Sus scrofa: one gene and its partners. The protein of the gene in region 2 purifies or fractionates together with the protein of the main gene of each other region. This does not show direct contact. Links are inferred from orthologs where the notes say so. Each region holds a gene or a part of one and is shown on either strand. Other genes may lie near its edges.

Evidence for each region.
Region 1: the proteins of TSEN2 (region 2) and TSEN34 purify together in Homo sapiens (affinity purification with mass spectrometry; 3 studies listed by BioGRID and IntAct, counting the BioPlex papers as one, with this or other methods). This does not show direct contact. The link is inferred for Sus scrofa from reciprocal best matches to the Homo sapiens genes TSEN2 and TSEN34.
Region 3: the proteins of TSEN2 (region 2) and TSEN15 purify together in Homo sapiens (affinity purification with mass spectrometry; 4 studies listed by BioGRID and IntAct, counting the BioPlex papers as one, with this or other methods). This does not show direct contact. The link is inferred for Sus scrofa from reciprocal best matches to the Homo sapiens genes TSEN2 and TSEN15.
Region 4: the proteins of TSEN2 (region 2) and CLP1 purify together in Homo sapiens (affinity purification with mass spectrometry; 3 studies listed by BioGRID and IntAct, counting the BioPlex papers as one, with this or other methods). This does not show direct contact. The link is inferred for Sus scrofa from reciprocal best matches to the Homo sapiens genes TSEN2 and CLP1.

What each region holds. Positions count from the first base shown.
Region 1 is NC_010448.4:55,933,056-55,940,539, forward strand, and holds the start of TSEN34 (tRNA-splicing endonuclease subunit Sen34), read right to left. Parts: upstream 5,898-7,484; 5' UTR 5,499-5,897; coding exon 5,464-5,498; intron 5,150-5,463; coding exon 4,903-5,149; intron 4,656-4,902; coding exon 4,403-4,655; intron 4,287-4,402; coding exon 4,029-4,286; intron 1-4,028. UniProt on the Homo sapiens protein: Constitutes one of the two catalytic subunit of the tRNA-splicing endonuclease complex, a complex responsible for identification and cleavage of the splice sites in pre-tRNA. It cleaves pre-tRNA at the 5'- and 3'-splice sites to release the intron.
Region 2 is NC_010455.5:68,513,274-68,519,985, reverse strand, and holds part of TSEN2 (tRNA-splicing endonuclease subunit Sen2), read right to left. Parts: intron 2,973-6,712; coding exon 2,936-2,972; intron 1,827-2,935; coding exon 1,715-1,826; intron 948-1,714; coding exon 858-947; intron 314-857; coding exon 254-313; 3' UTR 1-253.
Region 3 is NC_010451.4:125,298,010-125,305,430, forward strand, and holds the start of TSEN15 (tRNA-splicing endonuclease subunit Sen15), read left to right. Parts: upstream 1-3,112; 5' UTR 3,113-3,121; coding exon 3,122-3,316; intron 3,317-6,000; exon of another isoform or gene 6,001-6,446; coding exon 6,447-6,528; intron 6,529-6,796; coding exon 6,797-6,932; intron 6,933-7,421. UniProt on the Homo sapiens protein: Non-catalytic subunit of the tRNA-splicing endonuclease complex, a complex responsible for identification and cleavage of the splice sites in pre-tRNA. It cleaves pre-tRNA at the 5' and 3' splice sites to release the intron.
Region 4 is NC_010444.4:13,281,378-13,288,684, forward strand, and holds CLP1 (polyribonucleotide 5'-hydroxyl-kinase Clp1), read right to left. Parts: upstream 3,832-7,307; 5' UTR 3,685-3,831; intron 3,515-3,684; exon of another isoform or gene 3,445-3,514; intron 2,967-3,444; exon of another isoform or gene 2,947-2,966; 5' UTR 2,925-2,946; coding exon 2,319-2,924; intron 1,916-2,318; coding exon 1,244-1,915; 3' UTR 780-1,243; downstream 1-779. UniProt on the Homo sapiens protein: Polynucleotide kinase that can phosphorylate the 5'-hydroxyl groups of double-stranded RNA (dsRNA), single-stranded RNA (ssRNA), double-stranded DNA (dsDNA) and double-stranded DNA:RNA hybrids. dsRNA is phosphorylated more efficiently than dsDNA, and the RNA component of a DNA:RNA hybrid is phosphorylated more efficiently than the DNA component.

The DNA of each region.
Region 1 (7,484 bases), on a different chromosome or scaffold from region 2:
AGAGTATTATCTTAAGTGAAATAAGTTAGAAAGACAAATACTGTATGATTTCATTTATGTGTGACATCTAAAAAACAAAACAGGGGCTCCCTGTGGATCAGTGGGTTAAAGATCTAACACTGTCACCTCTGTGGTGCAGGTTCAGTCCCTGGCCTGGGAACTTCCACAGGCTGCAGGTATGGCCCTACAAAGACAAAAAGACAAAAAAAAGAAAAAAGAAAAAAAAAGAAACTTAGCATCTTTTAACCTCAGGAAAATTTATAATTAGAGTTAGAAACATATATTTAAGAGACTCAGTCCCTGAATATTCATCTTCAGGGGACAGAGATTCTGTGTCTATCTGATACATTGAGTATTTCTTTCTTTTTTTTTTTTTTTTTTTTGTCCTTTTGCCTTTTCTAGGGCCGCTCCCACGGCATATGGAGGTTCCCAGGCTAGGGGTCCAATCGGAGCTGCAGCTACCAGCCTACGCCAGAGACACAGCAGCGCAGGATCCGAGCTGCGTCTGTAACTTACACCACAGCTCACGGCAACACCGGATCCTTAACCCACTGAGCAAGGCCAGGGATTGAACCCGCAACCTCATGGTTCCTAGTCGGATTCGTTAACCGACGGGAACTCCCATGAGACACTGAGTATTTCTTGTTTTGAAATGTTGACCGATTAGAACCAACAGGTCAGCCTTGTGTTTGTTTCTAATGTGCAACTGAGTGATTTAAATTTGCCTTAATCTGAAGATTTAGTAAGTCTATTAACAGTGTAAGAATATAAACTTTATTTTATTTTTTTATTTTTTGGCCACCCCGAGACATATGGAGTTCTCGGGCCAGGGACTCGGGCCAGGGATAAGATTCAAACCATAGTTGCCACCCAAGCTGCAGCTGTGGCAAGGCTGGATCCTTAACCTACTCTGTTGGGACCAGAATTGAACCTGCATCCCAGCTCTCCTAAGACGCTGCCGATACCTTGGCGCCACTGTGGGAACTCCAACAATATAAATTTTAAGATCACCTCACTTATAACTTATTGATTTAATATTAGCAAGATCCATAACCAGAAAACTGCAGAACTTAGAAAGGAAAATAGGAGTTCCTTTGAGGCACAGCAGGTTAAGGATCCGGCATTGTCACTGCAGCAGCTCGGACTGCTGGCCCAGGACCAGGAACTTCCACATGCCACAGGCTCAGCCAAAAAAAAAGGGGAAAATACATTAATTTGTTTTGTTTTGTTCTGTTTTTTTGGGCCACACCTATGGCATATGGAAGTTCCCAGCTAAGGGTTGAGTTGGAGCTGAAGCAAGATTCTTAACCCATTGAGTGAGACAAGGGATCAGACCTGAATCCTCACAGATACTAGTCAGGTTGGTTTCCACTGAACCACAAAGGCAACTCCTACATTAAATTTTTTTGTTTTTATTATTATTATTATTATTTTGTCTCTTTAGGGCTGCACCCATGGCATATGGAAGTTTCCAGGATAGGGGATGAACTGGAGTTACAGGTGCTGGCCTGCACCACAGCCACAGCAACACGAGATCCAAGCTGTGTCTACAAACCTCACCATAGCTCACGGCAACGCCAGATCCTTAACGCACTGAGCAGGGCCAGGGATTGAACTGGTATCCTCATGGATACTAACTGGATTCGTTTCTGCTGAGCCACAAGGGGAACTCCCCTACATTAAATTTTTAAATGCAACTTAGAATGTTTGAAATTACTTAACTCCTCTTGTACATGGGATCAAATATGAATGAATGGTTCCCTTACAATCTGCTAGGTTGGAAAAACTTCAGTTTTGTAAATTAAGGTGAAAGTTTAGAAAAGAACTAGATATTAGCATCTGTATGTTTAGGAAGTTGAATATTCCCTTTGAAAACCAAAATAATCATTTTTACATGCAAGAGTCAGAGACACACACAAAAGACAACCCAGTAGCAAAGTAATTAAACCATGGTTATCTATGGAGAATGCGGTGGGGTAGAATGTTGTCACCTCCTAAGTCAGTCAGTTAAATTTTAGTCTGAGCAGAGACCAAGGCTCTCAGCTCACCTGCAGAAAAATTAATGGATAGTCTCCAATGAATGGCTAAGATCTGATTATTTATCAGGCAGTTCCGTTTCTGTGCTCTTAGGGGGAACAAAAAGGGTGATTATTCTGTACTTTTTTCTTTTTTTCAGCCGTGCCTACAGCATTTGGAAGTTCCTGGGCCAGGGATGGAATCTGAGCCACAGCAGTGACAATGCTGGATCCTTAACCTGCTGTGCCACCGGGGAACTCCTGTACTTTTTTTTTTTTTAACCTTTTAGTTACACAATCAAGGCAGTCTTACTATTTAACCATTAACTGACTCATCAAAAGTCTCCTTTACCTATTCCTGATGCAAATTCCCTCCCAGAACTCTTAATTACTGTCACTGGGCTCCAGTAAAACCTCGCATGTGGTCTTCCATTTGCTTGATGGGAGTCTCTCAAGCTACTTAGTACTCCACTTTAAGTTTTTCTCATATTCTTTCACTAGAGCCTCAATATTTTTTCTTTCAAAAAAATTTTTTTTTTTTTTTTTTTTTTTTTTGTCTTTTTGCTATTTCTTTGGGCCGCTCCCGCGGCATATGGAGGTTCCCAGGCTAGGGGTCGAATCGGAGCTGTAGTCCCCGGCCTACGCCAGAGCCACAGCAACGCGGGATCCAAGCCGCGTCTGCAACCTACACCACAGCTCACGGCAACGCCGGATCCTTAACCCACTGAGCAAGGGCAGGGACCGAACCCGCAACCTCATGGTTCCTAGTCGGATTCGTTAACCACTGCGCCACGACGGGAACTCCCAAAAAATTTATTTATTTATTTATTTTTTCTTTTTTTGGCAGTCCTGCAGCATACGGACTTCCCAGGCTAGGGATCACATCTGAGGCACAGTTGCAATCTACACCACAGGTTCTTTAATCCACTGTGCTGGGCTGGGGATCAAACCTGCATTCTGGTGTTGCAGAGACACCTCCTATTCCATTGCACTTCATTGGGAACTCCTTTTTTTTTTTTTTTTTGAATCTCAAAAATTTTATTGAAGTAGGAGTTCCCTTCGTGGCACAGCAGAAATGAATCTGACTAGGAACCATGAGGTTGCAGGTTCGATCCCTGGCATCGCTCAGTGGGTTAAGGATCCAATGTTGCCACAAGCTGTGGTGTAGGTAGCAGACTTGGCTCAGATCCTGCGTTGCTGTGGCTCTGGTGTAGGCCGGCGGCTACAACTCCCATTAGACCCCTAGCCTGGGACCCTCCATGTGCCGTGGGTGCGGCCCTCAAAAAGACAAAAGAACAACGACAAAAAAAAATTTGATTGAAGTATAGTTGACTTACTAGAGCCACGGGGCTTTTTTTTTTTTTTTTTGTCTTTTTGCTATTTCTCGGGCCACTCCCGCGGCATATGGAGGTTCCCAGGCTAGGGGTCTAATTGGAGCCGTAGCCACCAGCCTACGCCACAGCCACAGCAACGTAGGATCTGAGCTGCGTCTGCAACCTACACCACAGCTCACGGCAACGCCGGATCGTTAACCCACTGAGCAAGGGCAGGGACCGAACCTGCAACCTCATGGTTCCTCATTGGATTCCTTAACCACTGCGCCACAACGGGAACTCCAAGCCATGGGGTTTTTTTGGCCACACCCTCAGCATGCAGAATGCGAGTGACACTGCTGGATCCTTAATCTGTTGCACCACAAAAGAACTCCAAGAGCCACATTTTTTTTTTTAAGAGCCACAATTTTTAAGGCTACTTAAATAGCGCGTATAACTGTTTGACAGTATAAAATATGGTTTACTTCTTACTACCCATGATTTCTCCAAGCCATTCTTTGTCCCCCCACCTTTGCTCATGTACTAAACCGCCCGCCGAATGAGCTTGGGTTCCCAAGTGTTTCCTGTCCTTCCCTAGTTTCAGACGCTGAGAAAATAAGACCAAATAAAGGGAAAATGCAGAACATAGTGGGATTCGTGAAGAACAGAGTAGCAACCAGAGGGCCCAACACAAACTCACCAGGATACACCAGGAAGTCTCCCCCAAACTTGCCAGCAGCACTGAGGAAGAAGCCCCGCTCCCACAGGTCTCTGTAGATGCTGTAGCGAAGCTCGTGGGCAGGACGGCCAGCATGGGGCCAGTCTTTGGACTGGACACGCCAGTCCAGGGGCCTAGCCTTGATGGGCCGAGGTCTAGCAGTGGCCAGCTGGACGAGCAGGGCAGACCTGGGCAAAGGGGTGACCTCATTTGAAGGCCCCGGCTGGGGAGAGGAAGAGCCTGGTGGGGGGGTGAATCCAAGAGAGTTCAGTGAATCCAAGAGCCCCTGGGAGACCCAGCCCCAGACTCTAACCCCAATTCCCTCCTCCCCCTGGTCCCTGGACGCCAACTCCCACCTTCACCTGCTTCCTCCTGTTCTCCAGCAGTCTGGCTAGCACTGGCCTCCTCATTCTCTTCAGCAGCTGGGTGCCCAGGGGCATCCTGGCCTCCACTGGTCCCTGATTCCTGTTCCAGCTTCTGCTTCTTCGCAGCCTGGCCCTCTGCAATCTTCTCTAGGAGCTCCTGACGACGAGTCTCACGGGCCTCAGCTGCCAGAGCACTTTGCTCCTGGAAGCCCTGCTCTTGCTGGCGCTTGAAGGATGCCAAAGCCTGAGAAGTAAACTTAGCTATAAACTCAGGGATCCAGGCAGGCTCTCCCTTTGGTAGCTAGGAATCCTGACTCCCTGGCCCCTGTCAACCTCAGGGCAGGAACCCGGGGAACCTGGTGTCATAGGCTCACGGTATTCCAGAATCCAGGACTCCCAGACCCCTCCCAGCTCAAGGACTCGTGGTCCGAGTCTCCAGCCGCTTCTTCCTCAGGTCCCAGGGAGTTCGCGCTCCCAGCCTGCCTCCTTACCAGGCTGTGTTGGCGGGGATCCGGGCGCGGGGCGCTGACCAGGGTCACTGCGCCGATCTCAGCCAGGAGCCGCGCCTCTTCAGGCATCAGCAGCAGCGGGAGGCCCAGGCGCGAGTTTTGGCGGGGCCCGCGGGGCAGGGCGCCCACCGTGCGGCCCCCTACTCCTAGGCGTTCGCGTAGCGCCTGCACGGCCTCGGCCCCCCACACCAGGGAGCGGCCATTCGCCACCTCCACCACCAGCATCCTCCTGCGGGAGGCCAGGGGCACAGTAGTCACGCCAAGAGCTGCAAGCTCTCGACACCCAGCGCTCCCACCTCCCGGGGAGGGGGTGGTGGGTCTGGACAAAGCCCCTCCCTCGAGTTTCAGGGGGTGGAGCCTCGCTCGGGCCGCGTTCGCCACCTGCGGAGCGGGCCCCGCCCCCTGGGCACCAGGCTCCACCCCGGGCGAGCCCGCCAGGCCCCGGGCGTGACCGAGCCGCCGGGTCCGAGGGACCCAGCGGTCAGCCCTCGGGTCTGGGCTAGTACTGCTGTCCCGGCCTCCGCGCCTCGACGGAAAACCTGCCCTAGCGCAGACCACGCCCTCTTCGAAAGGTTCATCTCGGCAGCGCCCTTCGGGTGTTCCCGTCAGGTGCCGGGACCTCGGAGGCCAAAGCCCCGCCCTCCTCCGGTGGCTCGGGACCTGGCCCCTCCTCTTTCCGAACCAACTCCCGAGGTTCGGCCTCGGGTTCTTCCCGCTGAGTCGCGCTCTCCAAATACGAAGCCCCGCCCCTGCCCGAGTGTTCGGCCGTCCTCGGCTCAGCCGAACCTGCAGCCCCGCCCCTCCGAACCCAAGGGGTACTGCGTTCGAGTGTCTTCGGCTCCCGTCAATCCCACAGCCTGAGGCCCGGCCCCCTCTGGCCGCCAGCGCTCCCCTAGTTTAGGGAGTTCCCGCCGCGCGATCGAACCCCACAGCCGGCGGCCCAGTCCCCTGAGCACATGCTGTTCGTTCTCCGCTCGGGCGGGCTCACCCCACTGGCGAGCGCTCCCTTCAGAATGTGGCCCCGTCCTCTGATAAAACCAGCTAGTCACCTCGTAAACACCAGCTCGCTGTCCCGGCGGTGCCACCCCCTACGTCGCGCGCCACGCGCTGCTTCCTCCACCCCCCATGTCGACCCCCTGCGTCGATTTCGTCACGCCGCCACCTCAGCGGAGCGGGAAGTCTGGGACCCGCCCCACAGGGCCGTAGCCCCGTCTTGCCCTAAAGCGGAGCCTCACCTCCGGCCAGCCCCTCGAAGCCCACCTCCCTCCACCGATTCTGTTCCGCGACTTAGAAATGGGAGGCTCCGTGCGCTGGCCCCGCCCCCTTTGCCCGAGGCCCCGCCCCCTTTAGACCGAGGGGCGCTGTTTGCTCCACCCCCTCAGAGTTCTTCTGAGCCCTGCCTCTTTCCTGTTGGCCAAGTCCGTGGCTCGGCCTCCCTCCTACACAGGAGACTTTGCCTATCAGCAACCCGATTGGGGTGGGACTGTCACTTGCACACGACTACCTCCGAAGGAAACCGACGCGGTGGCTCCGCCTACATCCGGCGAAGCTTTTGGCCCCGCCCACATCCGGACAGAGACTTTCGGCTTGTGGCCCCGCCTCCAAGCCGCCTCCCATCTCTGCTCCGAGGAACCTGAAGTGGAGGCCCCGCCTCATTCCGAGCGCTGAGCTCCAGGCTCCGCCCTCCTTCTCACGTCTGGTCGCGTCCCTAAGAGGCGGAAGCTTCTGGCCCCTCCCCTTTCCGAGCCCGAAACCCCGCCCTTTTGCGTGCCAGTGACTCTTGACCAAGAGTCCTGGTCCAGCAGCTGACTCCTGCTGCCTGCTCTTAGTCCAGGCTTCTTCTCTGCGCAGCCGGGAACCTACCCGGCGCTGCGCACCCGGCCCGACACGGCGCAGCCGAACCGGCCCCCAAAGAGGCGGGGGTAGCGGAGGCGTGCTGGGCGGGGTAGGCGTGGCTGGCCCCGCCGGGCCCGCGCGCTGGGACTGCTTGGCCGCCTCCTCCCCTGCTGGCGGCGTGGAGTCGCGGGCCCAGGTGAGCTGGGGTGTAGAGGCGCCCCGGAGACCGGGAGGGGTCTGGACAGTGCGTGGGTTCGCTGCGGATCGGTGGGTCGATGGGCTGCGGGGGCGGTGCCTGGAGCGCGGAGGAGCTCTGGAGTGGCGTAACCGCCTGTGGCTTTGCCTGGGCCCATCTGACACGCGCTTGGTGCACGCAGCCGGCGCGGGGTTGGGGCTAGGGAGCGGGGCGCGCTCTCGGGGCTTTAGATGAGAGAAGGAACCCAACCTCCGAAAGAGGTGGAGGCTGGAGGCCTGCCTCGAAGAAGGAAGGGCTGGAGGTCTGGAGAGCTGGGTTCTCACTGGGGGAGGGGGAATAAGAGAGGGACTCTGTTCCTGGATCCTCGAAGCTGGAGAGGAATGGAAGATTTGAATTTGTGGGTTCTCAAAGGAGAAGAGGACTGGGACCCCGGGTTCTCAAAAGAGAACTTCTGGGAGTGGCTTCCTTTATCCTGGGAGGAAGGACCTGGAGGTCGGGATTCCTGTGTTCTCAGGGAAGAGGAGCTGAGGAT
Region 2 (6,712 bases):
TCTCAGACCAGGGACTGAACCAGGCTGCAGAGGTGAAAGTACTGAATCCTAACCACAAGACCACCAGGGAACTCCCCAATTTTAACTTTTAAAACACTAACACTTTCCTGTGGTGGAAGTGCCATGCCCTTGAAGACTTTTAAACTAGCGGGTGATTACAAAAGAAGGAGTCTTTACCTCACCCTGAACTTGGTTTATCATAGGAGACTCAGTAGGTATTTGCTCGTGAAATCAGACACCTGAGGCTGAGTTGTTAAAGTTCGTCTTGGTCGCCCCTCTCTCGTGAAGAAACCCAACGGCTTAGAATCACCTCCTGTAACCAATCAAAATAAAAAGGCAGCTGAACTTCAAAACTAGCAACGAAGGAATGTGCAGGCATAAGGCTTCCCCTTAACACTCACAAAATACTGTCTGTCTGCACAAGGATGACACCTGCTCCCGTTCCTGTCACCAAACATCTGGAGAAATGTGGACCAGCAAACCTTATGTGGGAACACTGGCCACAGTTACCCCCTAAAGATGTGAAAAGCCACTCCTGCTGCAGCTGTAGTTTTCTGGTAGCGCATTTCAGGAAGAGAACGCCAGTGCCAAGCCAGTGTTTAACTCAGAACTAGGTCCAAGCTGGCTGGGAGAGTGGTTTCAGCAGAGTGGTGGGTGGGGACAAAAACCAGAGGACACTGCAGGACAAGGAGTGGCAGGAATTAGGGGGAGGGAGGCCGGGCGCATCGGGAAAGGGCCTGAGAGGGCTCTCGCCACGGCCAGACGGTTTCCTGTCTTGTCTCGGGACCACGTGTTTCAGAGGACACGTGATGGAAAGAGCTTTGGGATGACATGAATTTGTCTCTGAGTTCACCTACCTGAACTTTAATTTGTTTCATGCATTCTGGCGACTCCATTTCTCTGTCAGTCATGGTGGAGGGTTTAATCACATAGCACAGCATAAGTTCCTATTGAGACATGAAAAACAACCTCTGTATCCCAAAAAACAGAAATAAAAATGGGGTGAGTGTGCAGGAAATGGAGGCCATCTTCATCCCTCCGAGCCATGTGCTCTGGGAAACTCAGAGCATGCCTGTTTCCTCCTGGGAACATAACTGGGCCCACATTGCAGACTAAAGACCTGTCATTTAGTCATCATTGACATGGCAAGAGAATGCAAGTAGAGCACATAGACAGATTATTAACACAGCATTACAAATAGTAAATACAAGCAACAACTCCTATAATATGGGCATAAAAATCCCAGGGACATTTCTCTAGAACAAAACTACTTTTATAGGCTAAAGCCTAAGCAACTTAACCTGTCAGCAGGGAGCTGGCATCTGGTGCCCACTGGCCCTTCCTATTTCACTGGCCATCACACAGGGGGACAGAGAATTTGAGGAATTAATGAGCAACAACAAACACAGACTTTCATTCTTCACAGTCCTGGAATAAGGTGAAATTTCTTTCCTATTTTGATGGCAGTGGAACACAGAACACAAGCCAGAAGGTCACAAGGCTCTGGGTATGAACCCCAGCTCCACACATGAGCTGTGTGATCTTGGGTTGGTCACTCAGCATCTATGCCTCTGACTCCTCACCAAGCGGTGAGGAAGACCTACTTCCGGGGCCTCCCTGGCAGCTGGATGACTTTTCAGCTTCCAGCACACTTGGGACACAAAAATCCAACCCATTAAGCAACATGTGAACACCTAGGCTGATGCTGCGCTACCTTGGAGACGCTGACTGAAACTCTGCTCAAGGCAGCCAGGGACCTCCAGCTGAAAGGTCTTCGAAGAGTGCCCTCAAAACAGTCGTCAACCAACTCGATGATGACAGAGTAACTGGAAAACAAGTAGAGGGCATTTTAAAAATAAAAAGCATGGGAGTTCCCGTTGTGGTGCAGAGGAAACAAATCCTTCTAGGAACCATGAGGTTGCGGGTTCAATTCCTGGCCTCGCTCAGTGGGTTAAGGATCCGGCACTGCCGTGAGCTGTGGTATAGGTCGCAGACGCGGCTTGGACCTGGCGTTGCTGTGTCTCTGGTGTAGCTTGGCAGCTACAGCTCCGATTAGACCCTGAGCCTGGGATCCTCCATGTGCCGTGGGTGTGGCACTAAAAAGACAATAAATAAATAAATAAATAAATAAATAAAATAAATAAAAATAAAAAGCATGAAGTCAAACCATTTAAAAAGAAAGAACATTGTCTGTCCTACCAAGAATGAAAATACAGAAAATAAAACATACATCATCTGATCCTAAATTCCTAAACTATTACTGAGAAAAATATTAATCTAAAACTCACACTTGACATTACAAACTGTCAGCCTGATTGCAACACTTACAGGAAAGGAACAGAAATATTTCCCTCAACATGAAAGCTGTGAATTCACACAACTGTTTAGATACTAGTGCTCACTGATATTAAGATAAACAATTACTATATAGTAATAACTAAACAGATTAACTCAATGTTTAATACTGAAACATACATCATCATAATCTATTTATTATCTTGTAGATAGCAAAACAATATTAACATCTAAGGCACAGACAGAGTATCTATTCCTACCAGGCCAGGAGGAACCTGACTCTAATTGTGTGCTTCTGAGAATTAAATTGGAGCTCAGAAATTTCCTCCTGTCCCTTTAAGCCATTAACTTATTTAAAAACCACTCCAGGAGTACCCATCATGGTTCAGCAGTAACAAATCCAATTAGTATCCATGAGGACTCAGGTTTGATCCCTGGCCTTGCTCAGTGGGTTAATGATCTGGCGTTGCCCTGAGTTGTGGTGTGGGTCGCAGACAGGGCTTGGATCTGGTGTTGCTGTGGCTGTGGCATAGGCCAGCAGCTACAGCTCTGATTAGATCCCTGGCCTGGGAACTTCCATATGTCATGGGTGTGGCCCTAAAAAGCCCCCCACCCCACCACCAAAAAAAAAATTCCAAACCTTGCATGGTAAAATGGAGGGCCTTTTCGGTACAACACTGCAAAGAAAAAAAAAAAAAACGCATAATCATTTGAAATCAAATTCTTCTTTTATTATTTATAAAGTGTTTTCTTCTCCAAAGGGACACAAACATCCAGTGCTCAGGATGTGGGTAATTTATAATATGCCTGGTGGTGTTTTTATAACCCAGACTGCCCCCTGCCACAGAACAAAAAGCAATTAACAGAGCAAATCTGTTGCGGAGACCCTAATACCCTCGTTCCACCCTCACTCCACAAATGAATCCCAAAATACAAGTGTTTTAATCCTCTCTTGTCTACACTCTCCAGAGTGAGAGCCTGAAATCGTGTCAAGTATGTGAAGCTGGTATAACATGGGCCAACACTGATTCATTTCAAATCTTTCAAATTGATGTGATTCAGTGTCTCAGCTCCTCCAGCTGGTACTGAAGGGTATTGGTGCTAGAGATGAGTGACACATGCCTACTTTAAAAAAATTCAATGTCAAATGGGGGGAAATATCACATAAGCACATAAGCCACTCAAAGATCCGTCTGCCTGTCTCATTCAGCCTGTGGAGGAAGAGCAGCTGCCTGGTGAGGAGCCTGGCTGGGGTCTTCTGTGGGTGTGGATGTGCAGGGGACCCTATGGAGGGGAGGGGCACAGAGCCTGCAGCAGGAATTGGGGACCTACCACCAAACTGGTCTCCCCTCTTTCTGGGCATGTGGAAGATGCCATCCCCGCCTCCCAGGCAGCCAGCATGCTGCGGGCACCTCCAAGCTGGCCTTAAACCTTGCCTGGCACCAAGCCCTTGCCTGTCCCTTTCTGGAGCTGTGTGAAGACTGTGGGGCCATGGGAAGAAGCCAGGCTCCTGCAGCCCCTCTGGGAATTGGTCCACCCACCATTCAGACACAGGCTTTGGATTCGACATGAACACAAGTTAACTTCTAGTGTTAAGCTCTTGAAATTTGGGGTTTATATCTAACTACAGCTACAGGAATGATCTTAACTAATATACAATTATACCTGTAAACTCTTGACTGTCCCCTGTGCAAAAACCAAGACTGAAAAGCTTGGTTTCCTTTGAGGAGCTGGTAGTTCATCACACTTCCCTTTGGTTCAGGCACTGTGAGGTCAGTAACCAGGTAGGATGTCATGGATGATAGAGTAACCCTTCACTGATGTTTTCCATGTCACATTTTCTTTTTTTGGGGTTGTGCCCGTGGCCATGTGAAAATTCTTGGGCCAGGGATTGAACCCACACCACAGACAATGACAGCAGCTCCTTAACCTGCTGGGCCATTAGGGAGCTCTGCATTTCGTTTTTATTAATGGATTTCTAATTGCACTTAAAGTATTTGACAAGTCAGCTCAAATTCACTGTGTAAGGGCACACATTAAACACATGAGTAACAGCTTTTGGGGCTGTGGTGCAGAGGAATGAGACCACATACCAGGATGAAACTGAGTTCAAAGGCCCTGCTTCGGTCTCGTCTCTGTCACTCCTAGTTGTGGCTCAGTCTCCAAAATTATAAAATGCATGAGGGGAAATTAATATCTTTTCTATCCCTCACAAGCCATGATCTATGATCAGTTACACATCCATCAGCTAATATGCACCTGGGACATGCACAGCCTGAAATCAGCTCCAACCCCCAATTTGGACCCTCAGACAACTGACCACGAATGGAAAGGTGGCTCAGGGGCTAAAAGCATGAACAAGGATATCTGTCAGACCCTAGTTCAAGGCTCAGCAGTGCCAAGACCACATGATGACGCCCTGGCTTTCGATCGCCTTATGGAAAACAGGAGTAATAATGCAGATAGAGGTGCTCAAAAAGTTACGGATAATAGTGATTACAATGATGGCACCGTATTCGGAGAGAAAAATGAAATAGTTTTACAAAAATGCCTCCCCAAGTAGAAAGACAAAAGCTTCAGAAGTCTAAGAAGTAGTGGGTGCTTGGAGTTTCTTGGTCGCTCAGTGGGATAAGGATCTGGCGTTGTCACTGTTGTGGTATGGGTTTGATCCCTGGCCCAGGAACTTCAGCATGCACTGGGCAAGGCCAAAGGAAAACAAAAACAAAAAACCCAATAAAGAATAGCAACAAGTATAAAGTCTGAAAGAAGAGGGTGAAGGGGAAAGGTGCTTTCTTACAAAACGCCAGACGTGACGTGCTGAAGGAATGACAGAGCCAGAAAATGGTGATCAGCGCAGTAGTAAGTTTAGGCAACTGCTCTAATTACTGGGGCACCAGATGCTCAGCCTCACTCTACATACAAGTTGTGAACTACAAAGGGTAAACCAAAATTTTATGACAGACATCTGACAACAACTGCCTCAGCCCAAGGGTCAAACAGCATCACCAGCAGCAGGACAATGGGACACGTACCCCTGGCTATGGCCCCATAAGCACACATTGCTGTAGGTGCTGAACAATGGTGAGCCTCCGTCTGATCATGAGGAAGCAGTTGGACACAACCCCCAAACTGGGACACCCCACAGGATTCTTCGAGGTCAATGTCACAGAAACACACAAAGGAGAGGGACTCTTTCATTAAAAGATCAGACTGAAGTGGTGAAATGGTGGCCGCCCAAACACATCCACGTCCCAACCTGGAACCTGTGATTGTGACCTTACTTGGGGAAAGGATCTCTGCAGGGCGTGGATGATGCAGCCACAGCCAAGGAACACCTGGCACCGGGGAGCTGGAAGAGGGAGGATGGGGTAGGGGTATGGGTGGGAAGGGTGTGTCAGGATCTGCCCAATCCTTGCTTCTGACCTCTGGCCTCTAGACCCCAGTTTGTAATAAGCACTCCTGGCCTCCCTAGGAAACTATAAGAGTGATAAATGCACTAAATGTGATCAATGAACCTGAATGGAGCCGGACAAAAATAAATCAAAACCAAAACAACCATACAAGACATTGTGGGGACAAGTGGGGACATTGAAATATGGACTAGATATTTAGATGATATGAATGAATTCTCCTAACTTCTCACAGGTGTCATATGGTGCTATAATTACAAGGAGAATATTCTCAGGAGCTGCATGCAAAAATACTTATCAAATCATTTAAAAATTAAAAAAGAAAAAAGAAAAATAAGCCAAGAGGATGGCTTTGGAAAGAACCAAAGATGGGGGTGGGACAGAGGTGCCCCTCCCTGCTCTGTGAGGAGCAGGGCTGATGCCACCTCCTTCCCTGGAGGAAGGGGAGGGGCAGGTGGGCAGTGGGGTTCAGGGGCGGGGAGCCAGTCACCAGCTCTGGGCTGGATGTCGTGACCTGTGGCCAATGATGGTCTGAAAGCCCTGGACGCTATGACTCTGCTGGCTTCTGGCACCTCCCCTCCTTCTACCTGTTTTGCAACTTGTAATTTGCAGGGAGCTGTGCAATCATGCGATCAGACTTAGCATAAATCCAAAAGTGGAATGGGTGGAAAGAAAGCTCAGGAGTAACTAGAACTTTGGGTTAAATCAAGTTAAATCAGCCAGTAACTGCATATATAAGGCAAAAACATAAACCCAGAGTTGGTGTTTAGCTTTCTGGCTGGCAACATCAGTGAGGTGTGTTGGGAAGTATCCAGAGCTGGGACTCAAAGAGCCCCAGTCATCACAGTTACTAGCTGTGGGGTCCATAGCAGCTTTCCTGACCCTTCTAAACCTCAGCTACAGAAGTAGGTGAGTGCCACCAGCCTCAAGGGCGGGGGCGGGGGTGGGGAGCTGTAAGGAAAGGCTCCCAAGGGGTTTCTGGCCTGGTTTTCATCAGTGGGCACTCA
Region 3 (7,421 bases), on a different chromosome or scaffold from region 2:
TTCCCAAGTTTCCATTGCTTAATGTGGAAGCCAAGATAGAGTCTATCTTCGTTCTTCTACTCTTTGTAGTAGACAATGACATTAAAAGTCAGAGACGTTTCATATTCATGCTTAAATATTAACATGCTTTTTCTAAGCAATGGAACGTTATTTGTCAAAGGATAGCATTAGCCTTTGCTTTTTTCAGTTTATGGTTCTTTCTGCATACTTTTGGGATTCCCTAATACCCCTCTCCCTTTTTTCTTTTTCTTAAGCTTCAACTGAAAACCTTCCCCTAAAGATTTCTGAGCCTTGTTCACATCATACCCAATTCCATTGGATCTCCTTACTGATTTATAAAATGTCCCCTTTCCTCATATCAGGAACAGAATGCTCTTAAATGCTTCTATAAATACCATCATCTGAACGGATTGGGATCTGTAGAGGTGAGAGAGAAAGATTTACTCACCTCAAATTACCTGAATTAGTGTCAGTGTTCAGTGATTGAAGGAGTATACTAATTTCAGTGTCATTTGCCTCTTTAGAGCTTAGCAACCGCTTCATAGAGGCAAAGGTTAATGACTACATTCAAATGCAATACAATCCAGGGCAACTTACGAATCCCATGTGTGGTTTTAGATGACATAATAGGATGCACTTCTTCCTGTATGTAATGCAATGCTTTTTTCTTTCCTTACTCTCTCTCTTTTTTTTTTTTTTTTTAATGCATTCAAGCTATGTATCTGGCTTTTAACAGTTTAACTTCAGCATGGATTTCATTGTGTTTATTTTACTTAGTATTCATTTGGCATTTTGTACTTGCAAATTTCTGTCTTATATCAAATTTAGGGAATTTTTTTTTTTCCTCAGTGTTTTCTCTGCCCCATTCTCTTTCTTTTCTTTTTCTGGTGTTTCATTTACAAGTGTGTTGGATTGTTTGATATCATGTAGCAGGTCTCTGAGGCTCTGTTTATTTTTTTTTAATTCATTTTTCTCTTTGTTGTTTACCTTGGATGATTTCTTGGACAATTGCTCTACCTTCAAATTCACTTAATTTTTATTCAGTAATTTCTATTCGGCCGTGAAATCCATCCAGTGGATTTTTTATTTACGAACTTGTAAATTTTTTTCTCTTCTGCAGGCCTCACCTGTAGCATATTGAAGTTCCTGGGCTAGGGGTCTAATCAGGGCTACAGCTCAGGACTACAGCACAGCCACAGTAAGGCAGGATCAGAGGGGCATCTGCAACCTATGTCACAGCTTGTGGTAATACCAGATCCTTAACCCACCGAGTGAGGCCAGGGCTTGAATCCGCATCCTCGTAGAGACTATGTTGGGTTCTTAACCGGCTGAGCCACAGTGGGAACTCCTGATATTTTAATTTTCAGTTCCATTTGATTCTTTTTTCTGCTGAGATTTTTTAGTCTCCTGAGAGTTTCATTCACTTAAAAATGCTTTGTTTTACTTCATTGAGGATAAGCTGTAATAGCTACTTTAAAATCCTTGTCAGTTTCAACATCTGATTCATCTCAGAGTCAGACTAGACAGTGTGATACTTTTCCTTGATTTCCATATGTCTGTAGTTTTGAATCGTATCTTGGACTTTATGAATGCTAAATTGTCAAGGTTCTAGACTCTATAGTTTTTCTATGAAAGTTACTTCCTTTGCATTAGCAGGTAATTTTCCTGGCTAAATTTGACCTATAAACTCTTTCTTGGAGGCCAACTCTAGCCTTAGTTCAGATTTTTTGTTTTAAACAGTGATTCTGTTTCAGGTGGTTTAGGATCTGTCAGAGATGTGTGCAGAGTTAGGGGATCCTCTCTCAGGCTCCTGCCCCTTTGGAGATTTCCTAGTCTCCTCAGCATTCAAAGGTTCCTGGCTTCACTTTTTGGATTCTCTAGGTAAGAAAAACTAAGAGTTTTCCCACACGCGCCCCTTCTGCCTTGGAGTCTGTCTCATGGACTGCTCTTAGCTCCAAGCTCAATGCAGAAGAAAGGGGAACTTACTTGTGTGGTTCCTTATCTGCCCTTCTCTGAGCAACCTGCCCTGGCCACCAGGCTTGGTCTGCTTCTGTTAGCATTCCAGGATATTCTGGAAGTTGCTTTTTGTATTATGCCCTCCCCGCTAGGAAGCTACCGGGCTAGGGGTAGAATAAGAGCTGCATCTGCCGGCCTACACCACAGCTCACTGCAACACCGGATCCTTAACCCACTGAGCGAGGCCAGGGATCGAACTGCATCCTCATGGATACTAATCAGGTTTGTTACCAATGAGCTACAATGAGAACGCCTATGCCCAATTTTATAGATGTCTTCTGCTGAGGGATAGTCCAGTAGGGTCTTAGTCTGTCATATTTGGAAGCAGAATTTCCATCCCTGCCTGGCACTTTGTCTCCTGAGAGTCATTTCTTGCCTTGGTTAATCCAACAGCCTCCTAAACCACTCCCTGCTTATACCCTTGCTCCTTAAGGACTCTTCTTCACATTTCAGGCAGAGGGATACTACAGAAACAGAAACTTGCAGGGTCTCCCCATTTCCTGACAGTAAATCCACAAAGTTTAAAATGTCCTGTTCTGCCTGTCTGAAACTCCTCCTCAGCCTTGGCTTCCACGTCACATGCTTAGGCTGGTTTGCATCCTACTTTTCTGACCACTCCTGTTTAGATTCAACAACTCGTGTTTACTCTTGCTCCTCTAATCCTGAAAGGTGGGTCCACCCTAAAAATATGGTTCTTGGCAGTCTGGTCTTTCTCCCTTTTATTTTCTTTTAGAGATCTCATCCACTTCCACACTTTAAGCTTACATGTCAGGGCTCCGAATGAGGCCTTCCTGTTCCCAGGAACTGGAGATCTGGACTCACTGCAGAAGGCGAAGAGACCCTATCCCTGGCTTTCTCAAAAGAGCGCACACAGCGCTGACGGAAGGTAAGTTAAAGGTTTCCGGCCTCGGGGTATTCTTCAACCTTCTTTCGGCCAGCATTTGCCCAGATTTGACTAAGCACCGCGCGAAAGGGGAGCAGGGAGAGTGCGTCCGCGCCGGTTCTAGCTGCGTGTTTCTGAAGATGGGACTGACCGCTTCTCCCGCCCGGCAGCATCTGCGCCCTCCTGCGCCGACGCAGCGCACGACGGGAAAGCGGAACCCAGATGCGCGCGTCCCTGCTTCCAGCCGGGCGCGGAGAGCCGAGCGCGGTGCACACGCGCGCCGCACGGCCGGGCATGGAGGAGCGCCGCGAGTCCCAGCCCACCGCCGGCTCTAGCGCTATGGGCCCGGGAGGCGAACGCGGCGGCGGCGCCCCCTCTTGGGCCCCGGAGGACGCCTGGATGGGCACGCACCCTAAGGTCAGGAGGCGCGAGAGAGCAGGGCACGGGTCCAGGCCCCTACCCCAGAGGGAACCCCCGGGCCGCGCTCCCCTCGGGGCTCTTCACTCCCTGGGGGGTGGGATCGCTGAGTTTCCACCCGAACCTCGCGGAAGGGGACCCTTTACGCTGCCCGCTGCAGGCGGTATTGTTTTCGTTTGTTTAAAAGCGTTGAATTGTTGTTCTGACCGCCCCCCCCCCCCAGGCTGGAGGGACAAAACTTTAAAATCCATCCTCCTCGCCGTCCACCACTAACATCTGAGTTGTGCTCTCTAGGGCTCTGGGCTCTTTCTCGGGCTGGTCTCATTTACTCCTCACAGTAAGCAAACTAAACAGTTTGTGGGCCATGGAAAAGATGTGGGAGTCTACAGTGTTTAAGGTTTAGGCACAGTCCTCGTTTGCTTCTGCTTGGCATATAGTTGCCTTTTACAGCAATGAATGGAAGTGATCGAAGACAAGGGTTTTGTAGGAATGTAGACGCTAGATACTTCGGTCTCGTAACTTTAGTAGGATTGCAGTCTTCTGCTAGAGAGCAGTATTTCATAGATAATCATCTAAAAACAGTGAAGAAGAGGAAAATCTTGAAGGTCTAGGTCTGAAAAAAATTAATCCCTTTTCTTTCCTTTTTTTTTTTTTTTTTTTTTTTGTCTTTTTGCCTTTTCTAGGGCCTCTCCCACGGCATATGGAGGTTCCCAGGCCAGGGGTCGACTGAAGCTGTAGCCACCGGCCTACGCCAGAGCCACAGCAACACCAGAGCCACAGCAACACCAGATCCTTAACCCACTGAGCGAGGCCAGGGATCGAACCTGCAACCTCATGGTTCCTAGTCAGACTCGTTAACCACTGAGCCTCGACGGGAACTCCCGAATTAATCCCTTTTCATCTTCTCTTGATTTTATCCTCCTATTCTGATCCTCTTATTTCCCCCTCAAGGTGAGAAAAACATTAACATGGAGATGTTTTTCGGTGCCAGAAAAAGAACCACAACACGGAGAGGGAGCGTGAACTCAGAGTCACTGAGTTTGAATCCTGGGTTCTGTCACCAGCTTTGTGACTTTTTTTTTCTTTTTTTTTTTTTTTGCTTTTTAAGACTGCACCTGTGGCATATGGTGGTTCCCAGGCTAGGGCTCTAATCGGAGCTGTAGCTGCCGGCCTGTGCCACAGCCACTTCAGATCCGTGCAGCGTCTGCAACCTATACCACAGCTCAGGGCAACACCAGTTCCCTAACCCACTGAGCGAGGCCAGGGACTGAAGCCTTGTTCTTATGGATAGTAGTCGGGATCGTTAACTGCTGAGCCACGAAGGGAACTTCCAGGTTTATGACTTTTTTTTGCTAGTTGTTTTATCTTGTTCCTCAGTTTTCTCATCTGTAAAATGGGCATAGGAACAGTACTAATCTTATGAAGTGGTTATGGGATTAAATAAATTAATAAACACTTGACATATAGTGAACACTACATAAGTATTTATAAGTGAAACATCAGTAGCAAGTTTTAAAAACCTCATCTAGATTTGATGGTATTGTTTAGTTTTCATACTTGGGGATTTTTTTTCTCTTTAAAGTTAATATCTATAGGTTCTAGCTGTTAAGTCTTTTCTCTTGGTTTTTCTTGAAGGACCTAATTGATTACAAAAAAGGGAAGAAAAGATATTGGATGTCTGCTTTTTCAGTTCTGCATTTGTATTATTCAGTTTGAAAATTAATTGGGTCCAACCAGTAACATAGTATTAGTTTTATCATCCTCAAACACTTTTTTGATTATTCCTATACTTAAAGAATTTCCTCATGGATAAAATTCAAACTTTTAGCTTGGCTACTTGGTCCCTAATTGCCTTTACAGTGTCATTTTGAAACACATTTGAGGTTTCAGGAGGACGTTTAATAACGCCCCTCTTTCCTGTTCCCAACACACTTAGGAGCACACTGATGGGAAGGCATGGCCTCAGAGCTGCACCTAGGCAGGTCTGTTGATGCCTCACCTCTGCATTAGCCCTGCTTCCTCACCTGGTCAACGGACACAGCTGGAATACCTGAGGCTTCTCCTGCAGGGCCGGGCCCCTGAAGAATGTTTGCCCCCTGCTAACCAACAAGACTGAAATCAGCACAGCTTGCTTGGTCCTTTCTTTAAAATCCAACAATTATATAACTCCGCACTCTTGAGTGAGCAGGGGTGGGGAGAGAGACCTAGAAGACTTCCTCCACAGGTTAAGAAGAGACCAGGGAAAATAGAGGCTCCCACTAACGTGTTCCAGTAAAAGTCCTTTTAAAAACTGTCTCTTCTCGCACAGCAGGTCATCGCAGTGGCTAGGGTCACTGTTTTGGCCTGGGTTTGATCCTTGGCTCAGGAATTTCCACATGCCACGGGTGTAGCCAAAAAAAAAAGTTTCTACTCCTTACAGATAGGTTTCTTTGTAGGCCTTTAGATATGTGATGCTTATTCCCGCCTTCACGTGGTTGCTCACACTTTTATTCTACGTTCTCTATTTACGCAAATCATATATTACATCCTTCAGGGCCCAATTTGCATCCCACTTCTGCCAGGAAGCATGCACCAACCAAGCCATCTAATTGGAGCTCCTTAGACCTATTGTGTCTTTTTTTTTTAATCCCACTCACTCAGTTGGTTTCTTTTTCTTTTTTCTTTTCTTTTTTTTCACTTCACAGGGCCACACCTGTGTCGCAGGGAAGTTCCTAAGCTAGGGGTCAAATTGGACCTATAGCTGCTGGCCTGCACAACAGCTACAGCACCTTGGGATCTGATTTGAATCTTCGACCTACACTACAGCTCATGGCAACACTGGCTCCTTAACCCACTGATCCGGTCCAGGGATGGAACCTGGATCCTCATGGATACTAGTCAGATTCATTACCACCGAGCCCCAATGGGCTCAGTTTTTAATCACTTACTGTCTTGTACTGTTATTTGCAATTGTGTGTATGTTTACCCTAACAAAAGTTTTTTAGAGACAGAAATCAGGGCTTAATTGCCTTGTAACTCCCAGGATACCTGTAAGAGTCTCGTACATTATATATTTAATGAATAATTTTTGATTGAAAGAAAATATTTAGATTCTTCCTTCTCTATTTGACAATTATATTTTGATTTTCAGTATTTAGAAATGATGGAATTAGATATAGGAGATGCCACCCAAGTTTATATAGCATTCTTGGTTTACCTGGACCTCATGGAGAGTAAGTTATTTGTTTTATTATTGTTTTGTTATTGGGGCTGTGGTGGGGGAGATGGGGGCTTGGGTTGGGATGTAGTTTTTATGCATTTGCTGTTAACTTTGTCAGTGTTGTGATTTCTTTATCATTTTAATTGGGAACTCCTGGGAAAGAAAATACTAAAGAAAAGATGGCATTATAAGTGATGTTTGCTCAGCTGATATTAGGTGTTTAAAATTTTTATCTTTTATTTTTGATAAACATGATTGTCCATTTAATGATGCACTTTCAGGTAAAAGTTGGCATGAAGTGAACTGTGTGGGATTACCAGATCTCCAGCTCATCTGCCTTCTCGGTACTGAGATAGAAGGAGAAGGGGTACAGACTGTGGTGCCTACACCCATCAATGCATCCCTCAGCCATAACAGGTAGGCAGGTGATTTTGATCTTTGTTTAAGAGGTTAGTTCCTTTTCTGAATAAAGCACTAGGAATCGTTAAATTAGAGGTTGTCATATATTTTCAGAGGAATTGGGGGTACGGGGATCCTTGCTTTGCTCTTGGTTATTTGAGGAATAAGTTTTTTTATTAATGATGTTTATTTTTTCCATTATAGTTGGTTATTTGAGGAATAAGTTAAGTATGAGTGTTTAACAAGTATTTATTTAGCACTAAGTGTATTTTTCATGTTCATCGGGAATTGTTTTATTTTAGATCTTTTTAACTGTATAAAATGGCATCTTTTGAGGCTTGCTTTCCACAATGTTATATTGCAAAAATTTATCTATGGTATATTTTGGGAGCGGGGATGCCTTCCATCCTGTGATTGTACCACCGTTTTCACATCTACTGCCCTCATGACGGAGTGTTGTTAACGTTCAACTTTCAGGGAATGATTTCCACTCTTTTCCAAAGCAGT
Region 4 (7,307 bases), on a different chromosome or scaffold from region 2:
CCAGCCACTCTGTCTCATATCAGCCAACCTTAAGTCTCTCTGTATAACACTCTTCTGCTATTTTTTATTTTTGGGTTTTTTTTTTTTTTGTCTTTTGAGGGCTGCACCGGTGGCACATGGAGGTTCCCAGGCTAGGGGTCTAATCGGAGCTGCAGCTGCCAGCCTACACCACAGCCACAGCCAGGCCAGATCCGAGCGAGTCTGCGTCTCACGTGTCTCAGGGCGACGCCAGATCCTTAGCGCACTTAGCGAAGCCAGAGGTCGAACCTGCAACCTCATGGTTCCTAGTCGGATTCATTTCCGCTGTGCCACAACAGGAACTCCAGCACTCATCTTTTAATATTTATTCTCTAATGTAAGCTCCGTAAGACGTTGTCTATCTTGTTCCCCCCATCTAGAATGGCCCATGTTACATGGTAGGTGTATGATGAAAATTTGTGGAAAGAATGAATGAAGAGCATCAGATACTTAATAATACAAGTCCAAACTAGGAACACTAATCATTTGCAAGAGATCAAAAAGAACAGGCTTTCCTAGCTTATCCCCTGAAAACTCAATTTACATTTTTTTGTGTTTCTTTTTTTGGCCTTGGCAGAGGCATGTGGAAGTTTCCCAGGCCAGGGATTGAACCCAAACCACAGCAGTGACCCAAGCCACTCGCTAAGCTCACAGGTGAACTCTTTGCTTTCCTTTTCTCTAGACATTCAACAATAAGTTACCCCAATAATGTTTCCACAATGAGGAAAAGAACAAAATTAAAAAAAACAACTTATACCAACTTCTGTGATATGGCAAAAATATTTATTAAAATAGTTTTTTTTCCCAAATATGAACTTTATTGGAAGGAGTCCTTCAAATTCACTCTTTCACCCTGCATAAACGAGATAACAAGTACTATATACAGAATATAAAGCAGTAATATTAAAAAAAAAAAATCCCTCCTCAGAATTAGTCCACATAGTAGCACAGTGAATGAAATGGGATTTTTCTGGAACTCAAAGAATTCAAAGTGACACCTTAGGTAATCTAAGAAACCAATTATATTCTTACAGTTTTCCTTTTGGTTCAAGATCAAAAGGGTTAGGTTATTATCACCTGTTTTAAGAGGTAGAATATATGCTTTCTGCTAGTCCATGACTTACTGGTCAGCCTGGTCTCAAGAGATTCCCACACTTCACCCATCTGCCTTTGTGATGGCCAGGAGATCTCTACGCCCCCAAGCAGCAAAGCTTCCTGCTGATCTCTACTTAAGATCCATGAACCGGATATCCATGATGAGAAGGAAGTTCTTAGGCAGGGGGCGGGGGGCTGGGGAGAGCACAGTAAACACTTGATGCTCCAGGTCCACACTGGTCACCACAATGAAGCCAGCCACACTGGTCTCAGAAAGGTTCTCCTCTGTGCCCTCGGCAGTGCTAACACTCAGGAGGTGGTGCACCATATCTCGGCCAGGAGTGACAGGGACCAGCTTGAGCTGATTGTCCTCCTGAGACATGCCCAAGGGCAAACAGGAGTCTGGGATGGTGGGTGCCCCGACTTTGTAGATTTTCACATCTGAAAATTTGACGTTAAAGGCGTGGGGATAGAAACAGCCCCGGAATCCGTAGAAATACTCACGGATTCGTTCATCCCTACATTCCCGCCGGAAGTCCTTGGAGCGCTCAACCACACCCCCTGATTTAGGGAGCAGCACAGTGCGTACGAAGTGAGGCAGGTCTCGTTTCAGCTCATTGTACAGTCGTTCTTGATCCAGGACCACAACGACATCCACCTCAAAAGCTGAGGCCGCATGCACCAGGGCCTGGTAACCAGAGCCCTTGACCCAGCCACAGGTGTTAATGACACAGCCACTCACAGAGGCCCTTCTGTTCACTTCACATCTTTGGTTGAACACATCTGCTAAGCGAGATGTAATCTGCAAAAGAAAGAAGCAAAGTGAGGAAAAAAAAACACCAAAAGAAACAAACCCAAGGCTATTTTATCTTTCTTTAGAACAAGTGGTATCAGGTATAAGAAAAATGACATTTTTCATGGCTGTGGTTTTGACCCCGTAACATGGATTTAATTTTTATTTTGCGTTGCTTCTTCTGTCTCCTCTGTTTCATGTCCGAAATGGAAATTTAATAAATTACTTAAGAATGGGTCCGCAGAAACGTTTAACAGTTTGAGATGGACTTATTTTCAAATTGTCTTTCCTAAAATCATGGAGCAATATACCAGCCGAGAGGGAGCAAAGAGTTTTAATTAGCAAACTTCTGCACAGTTTTCAACCCTGACAGCAGCCCTTCCCTCCACCCCACCTTGGCCCTGGCTCTGACCTTATTATAAAGCTTGATGTTGGTTCCAGGAGTGGTGGAACCAAAATGATACACCAAAGGAGCCTGGATGGAGAATCCCTCTTCAACATCTGCTGGCCGTTCAATGTAGAGGGCCCCCATGGTACCAGGGATGGACACAGAGCCCTGGCCTACATCCAGCTCCACGTAAGTGGGACGGCGGCCCAAGCGCACTGCATAGTTGAGCAGTAGACGGCACACTGTGGACTTGCCCACATCAGTGGGGCCCACTACCATCACCCGGGGACCTCGCTCTTCTTCCTTCTCTGCCTGCCTCCGCATCTGCTCCAAGGCAGTGTGAGTGTTGAGATAAAGCAACATAGGGGTGTCTTTGGAGACATAAGCCACCTCGGTGCGACCACTGAGCTGTAGCGAACAGCCATGCCAAGTGAAAACAGCCACCTTGGCACCAGCATCAAAGGTGAATTTCTTGTTTCGGGTCAGCTCTGTGCCAAAGATTTCTGCCATGCCAGCCAGCAGCTCCAGCTGAACTGACTGAGATGCCTCCACCTCAAAGCGAAGTTCTGTTTCTCGCTCGAGTTCAAATTTAGTTGTTGGCTTCTTGTCATCATTGGCCTCCTCTCCCATCTTTTCTGCGTAGTTGTTGTGCCTAGAACACAAATGTCAGATCTAAACATAAGTTAGGACTCAGTTCAAAATCCTTCACTGGCAGTTTCTCTTTACCCTGCTTTATTTTTCTCCTTATCTCTGATCACCATCCGCTTCACTATATATTTGTTTATTGTCTGTCTACCCTCACAAGAATGTAAGGGTTGGAACTCTAGTACCTAGGATGGGGCTAGACAACCCAAAGGCACCTCTATAAATACACCGAGGGAATAAATGACTCAGAAATAAAAAGAAAGCAGTCTCTACAGATTGACAGACTTGATTTCATCGCCTTCATCGCCCCCTTCACCACTCAACTGGGATATTCCAGAGTTGAAAAGGCAACAGATGGCCACTCCCTAAGCCTCTTAGTCAACAAGAAAGGCGTTAGTAATTCGATGTAAAGCAGAGAATATCGGTTTCCGGTTTCCGACTTAGAAAACAGAATTAAGGCCCTGCTCAGCAACTACTAGGTAGTGTCTTTAGAGAAATCAATCACCTCTTCCTCAGTTGTCAACTGGAGGCACTTCCCCTTCCACACACAAAGTTCTGGGGATTAACAGGGATTGCTGGAGGAGAAAAAAAGTTCGTGAACTAGAAAACGCCGAGGAAAAGCGAAGAATTATCTCTGATCCCAGACCGCAGCTCTAAATCCAGCGTTTGTCCTAGCCTCCCTAGACAGTGAAACCTGTCCACGCTCCAAGGAGGCGACGGTGCGTTCCTAAGCTTATTACCTTACCTGTACAGGCACGAACCCAACCTTGTAAATCAAAAAGCCCTCCTAGGCAGAAACTCAGACCAACTGCTAACCGCGCTCGCCTAGATCCACGCCGGAAACTTGGGCGTTTCCTTACTTGCGCAGTAGAGGAGATGTGGACGCGCGGTGCTCCCTGGGACATGTAGTCGTGCCAGAACCGCTGCGAGCGACCACCTGGCGCAGTCGCTGGGCCTTCTGGGACTTGTAGTTAAAGGATTGTTTTGATCGTGATGTCAGCGGTGGGCGGGGCGGCGGCCGCCGAAGTTCGCGTTTCCACGGGAGGGAAGGGGGTGGAGTGGCGGTTACGCCCCCGCGCGGGGCGGGGACTGGCGGAAGGGTCAATGGACACCAAAGCGCAGAGGATGCGGATGCTCACCGCTGTTCTCCGCTCAACTGCCCTCCGGGAAGGGGAAAGACGGAGGGAAGGGGACATTATTTAGGTCCCATGGTCGCCTGGAAGCGGGGAAATTAGGGAAACTCCATTTGGATACGAGAAAACCTAGGGGTAGAGAAAGTGGAGGAAAACAGCATAAACAGAGACCAACCCGGACCTGAACCGTCACCAATTAACTGATACAGTGCTTGGCCCCTAGGGGTCATTAAAAAAATGTTTTTTGAATAAAAGTGCAAGAATTCTTCCACTTACTCTGTAAGTCAGTCATTTCCCAACAACCTCTCATTTATTTTTGGCCCCACCCGTGGTGTGTGGAAATTTCTGGGCCAGGAATCAAATCCGCGGCACAGCAGTGACCAAAGCCGCTGCAGTGACAATGCCAGATCCTTAACCTGCTGCATTACAAGAAAATACCCACTCCTCTTATTGATCAAGGTGTTTTGTTGGGAACTCTGTTTCCCTCCCTAAATCCCTGGCAGTTATACAAGGTCAGTCATTTATCCAACAAACAACAGGTTGGGCAATGTCTGTACTCTTCTGATGAGCTTGGACTTGGAATCTTGTATTCTTTGCTATGCCGCTTGCTTACTGTGGGACTTTGGGCAAATCACGGGCTTAAACTTTCTAACACCTAGTTTCTTAATTGTAAAATATGGATAAAAACAATACCCAGCCAAAATTGTTTTATTTATCTTTTTGTCCTTTTAGGGCCGTACCAGTGGCATATGGAGGTTCCCAGGCTAGGGGTCTAATCAGAGCTACAGCTGCTGGCCTATACCACAGCCACAGCAACGCCAGATCCAAGCTGCGTCTGCCACCTACACCACAGCTCACGGCTGCGCTGCATCCTTAACCCACTAGGCAAGACCAGGGATCGAACCTACGACCTCACGATTCTTAGTCGGATTCATTTCCTCTGCATCAGGAGGGGAATTCCTTAGCTCTTAAGTTTTTATTAGAGGTTGAGGAGGGGGAGCTACAAAGATGCCATCCATTTGTAGTTTACATTTCACAAAACCCTTTCAGCTATCCTCTTTCACAGCCACCTGTCAAGTCAGCTCTACTCAATTTCAGGTGAGGGAGGAGACTAAGATAGATGAAGGGACTTGCCCAAGCTAGTTCTCAAACCCAAGACTTTGGAGTTTGAGTCCACTTATAATAATAGTGAACGCACAGTGCTAGATGTCACATAGTGTTCTGTGGGCTTTACAGGGGTAAATTTAATCCTCAAAGAATCCTGTGAGGTACAAACACACTGTGATTGTCAGCTCTGCTTACAGATGCATACTTTTTTTAGTCCAGTTTACCTGGTTAATCTGGGTGGAAAAGCCTGGGGAGATTTTCTGGATTGCCTTGTTTCCCACTGGCCCTACCTTAGCATTCACTTTTTTTTTTTTTTTTTTTTGGCCCCACCTCAGGCATGCAGAAGTTCTGAGGCCAGGAATTCGACCCTCGCCCCAGTAGAGACCCCAACTGTGGCAGTGACAACACCAAATCCTTAACCCACTGCACCACCAGGAAACTCCAGCATTCACTTTCAAGAGTGACACCTTCACTTCTCACAGTTCTTTCTTTGAGGGTTTGCTTTAATTGTTTAATTCATTCTCCATGCATGTTATTAGTTCTCCAATTAACTATTAGGTATTTCCTCATCTTTCATTGATTCTTCAGCAGTTCCGTTCTGGTCTTCCATTTGCAAATTTCCCTCCGAGTCAGCTCACCCTCTCCTGTTTCCTGCAGTCTTTCTCCTAAGATCTGTTTCTTTGCCTCCACGCTCTGCCTTGAGACTGTTTCTCCCAGTTTTCTGAAGGTCATCTTTATTTGGATATTGGGTAGCCATCTCAAGCTGAATTTAGGGAGAAGAAACCCCTCCCCTCCTTTAGACCACTCTCTGTTTTGCCTCTTAAACACAGAAATAGTCGGGGCACAACATTTAAACCATCTATGTTTCCCCTGCACTCTCTTTCCTCACTTTCAATCTTTCACTAAGCACCCCAGTCATCTCTGCCCCATCCCCAAATAAATACTGTCCTCACATGTCTTTTTTATTCTCCTTTCCAGCTTAACCCTTATTTTCTTCCTGAGTTAAATCACCTGTTATCTTTTTTGCTTCTAAACTTTCGATCCTTGCTCTCAACAACTACTCACTTTCTTTTTCCCACTTCCCACTATTTTCCTCGACGAATTCCTCCTCCACTTACATTCCCCCCCCCTTTTTTTTGTCTTTTCCAGGGCCACATCCAAGGCATATGGAAGTTCCCAGGCTAGGGGTCTAATCGGAGCCACAGCTGCCGGCCTATATCACAGCCACAGCAATGCCAGATCCAAGCCTCATCTGTGACTTACACCACAGCTCACGGCAACGCTAGATCCTTAACCCACTGAGCGAGGCCAGGAATCGAACCTGCAACCTCACGGTTCCTAGTTGGATTCGCTAACCACTGAGCCACGACGGGAACTCCGTCCGCTTACATTTCCCTTCCCGTCCGTTGCTCAGACAAGAACATTTCTCTCTTCTTTCTTTATTCAGTTCTCAATCCCAAACCTCTGGGAACATCATTCAAGATACCCACATTGTGTTTTCAGAATTTACGTTAAATCCCAGAATCTTCCCAGAGTAAATATTCAGAATTCCCTTCACTTTTTCATACCCAGCTAGCACTGCCTCCCATCAACCTCATTTTCCTTTCTTAACATCCCCCCCACCTTCTCCCTTGTGAAAAGTGCTTCATTTTCTGAACGTTAGCCTTGGTTAGAAATCAGGGTTTTTATTTTCGAGGGATAAAATGGCCACATTCTTTAGCCACATACCCAGGGCAACACTTCATGAGCAATATTCTGGGTTAAATGAAGTATCACTGGAAACCGTCAGAAAAATAACACTGAAAAATGTTAAGCTCTTCATAAGACACAATTTTGGCATGTACCTCTTGAGCTATCCGAATTTAATAGTTGTAAGTCCTCTCTGGGTTTAGGGGTATTAAGTTGAGAACACTGTTTTGAAATGACAGTAACCACTGTTTACCACGTGCCTATCACCTTGGCGGCATTTTTTAGGTATTGAAATGCTTTCTCACTTCACATCTCCATGAGGCAAATATTATTCGCTTCCTTTACCAGAAGAGGTAAACAGGGTCTCAAAGATTATCAGCAACTTGCCCAGTGGTTCCTAAGTGTGTTGGCAGAGCTGGGGTTCCACCCCCAGGTCTCT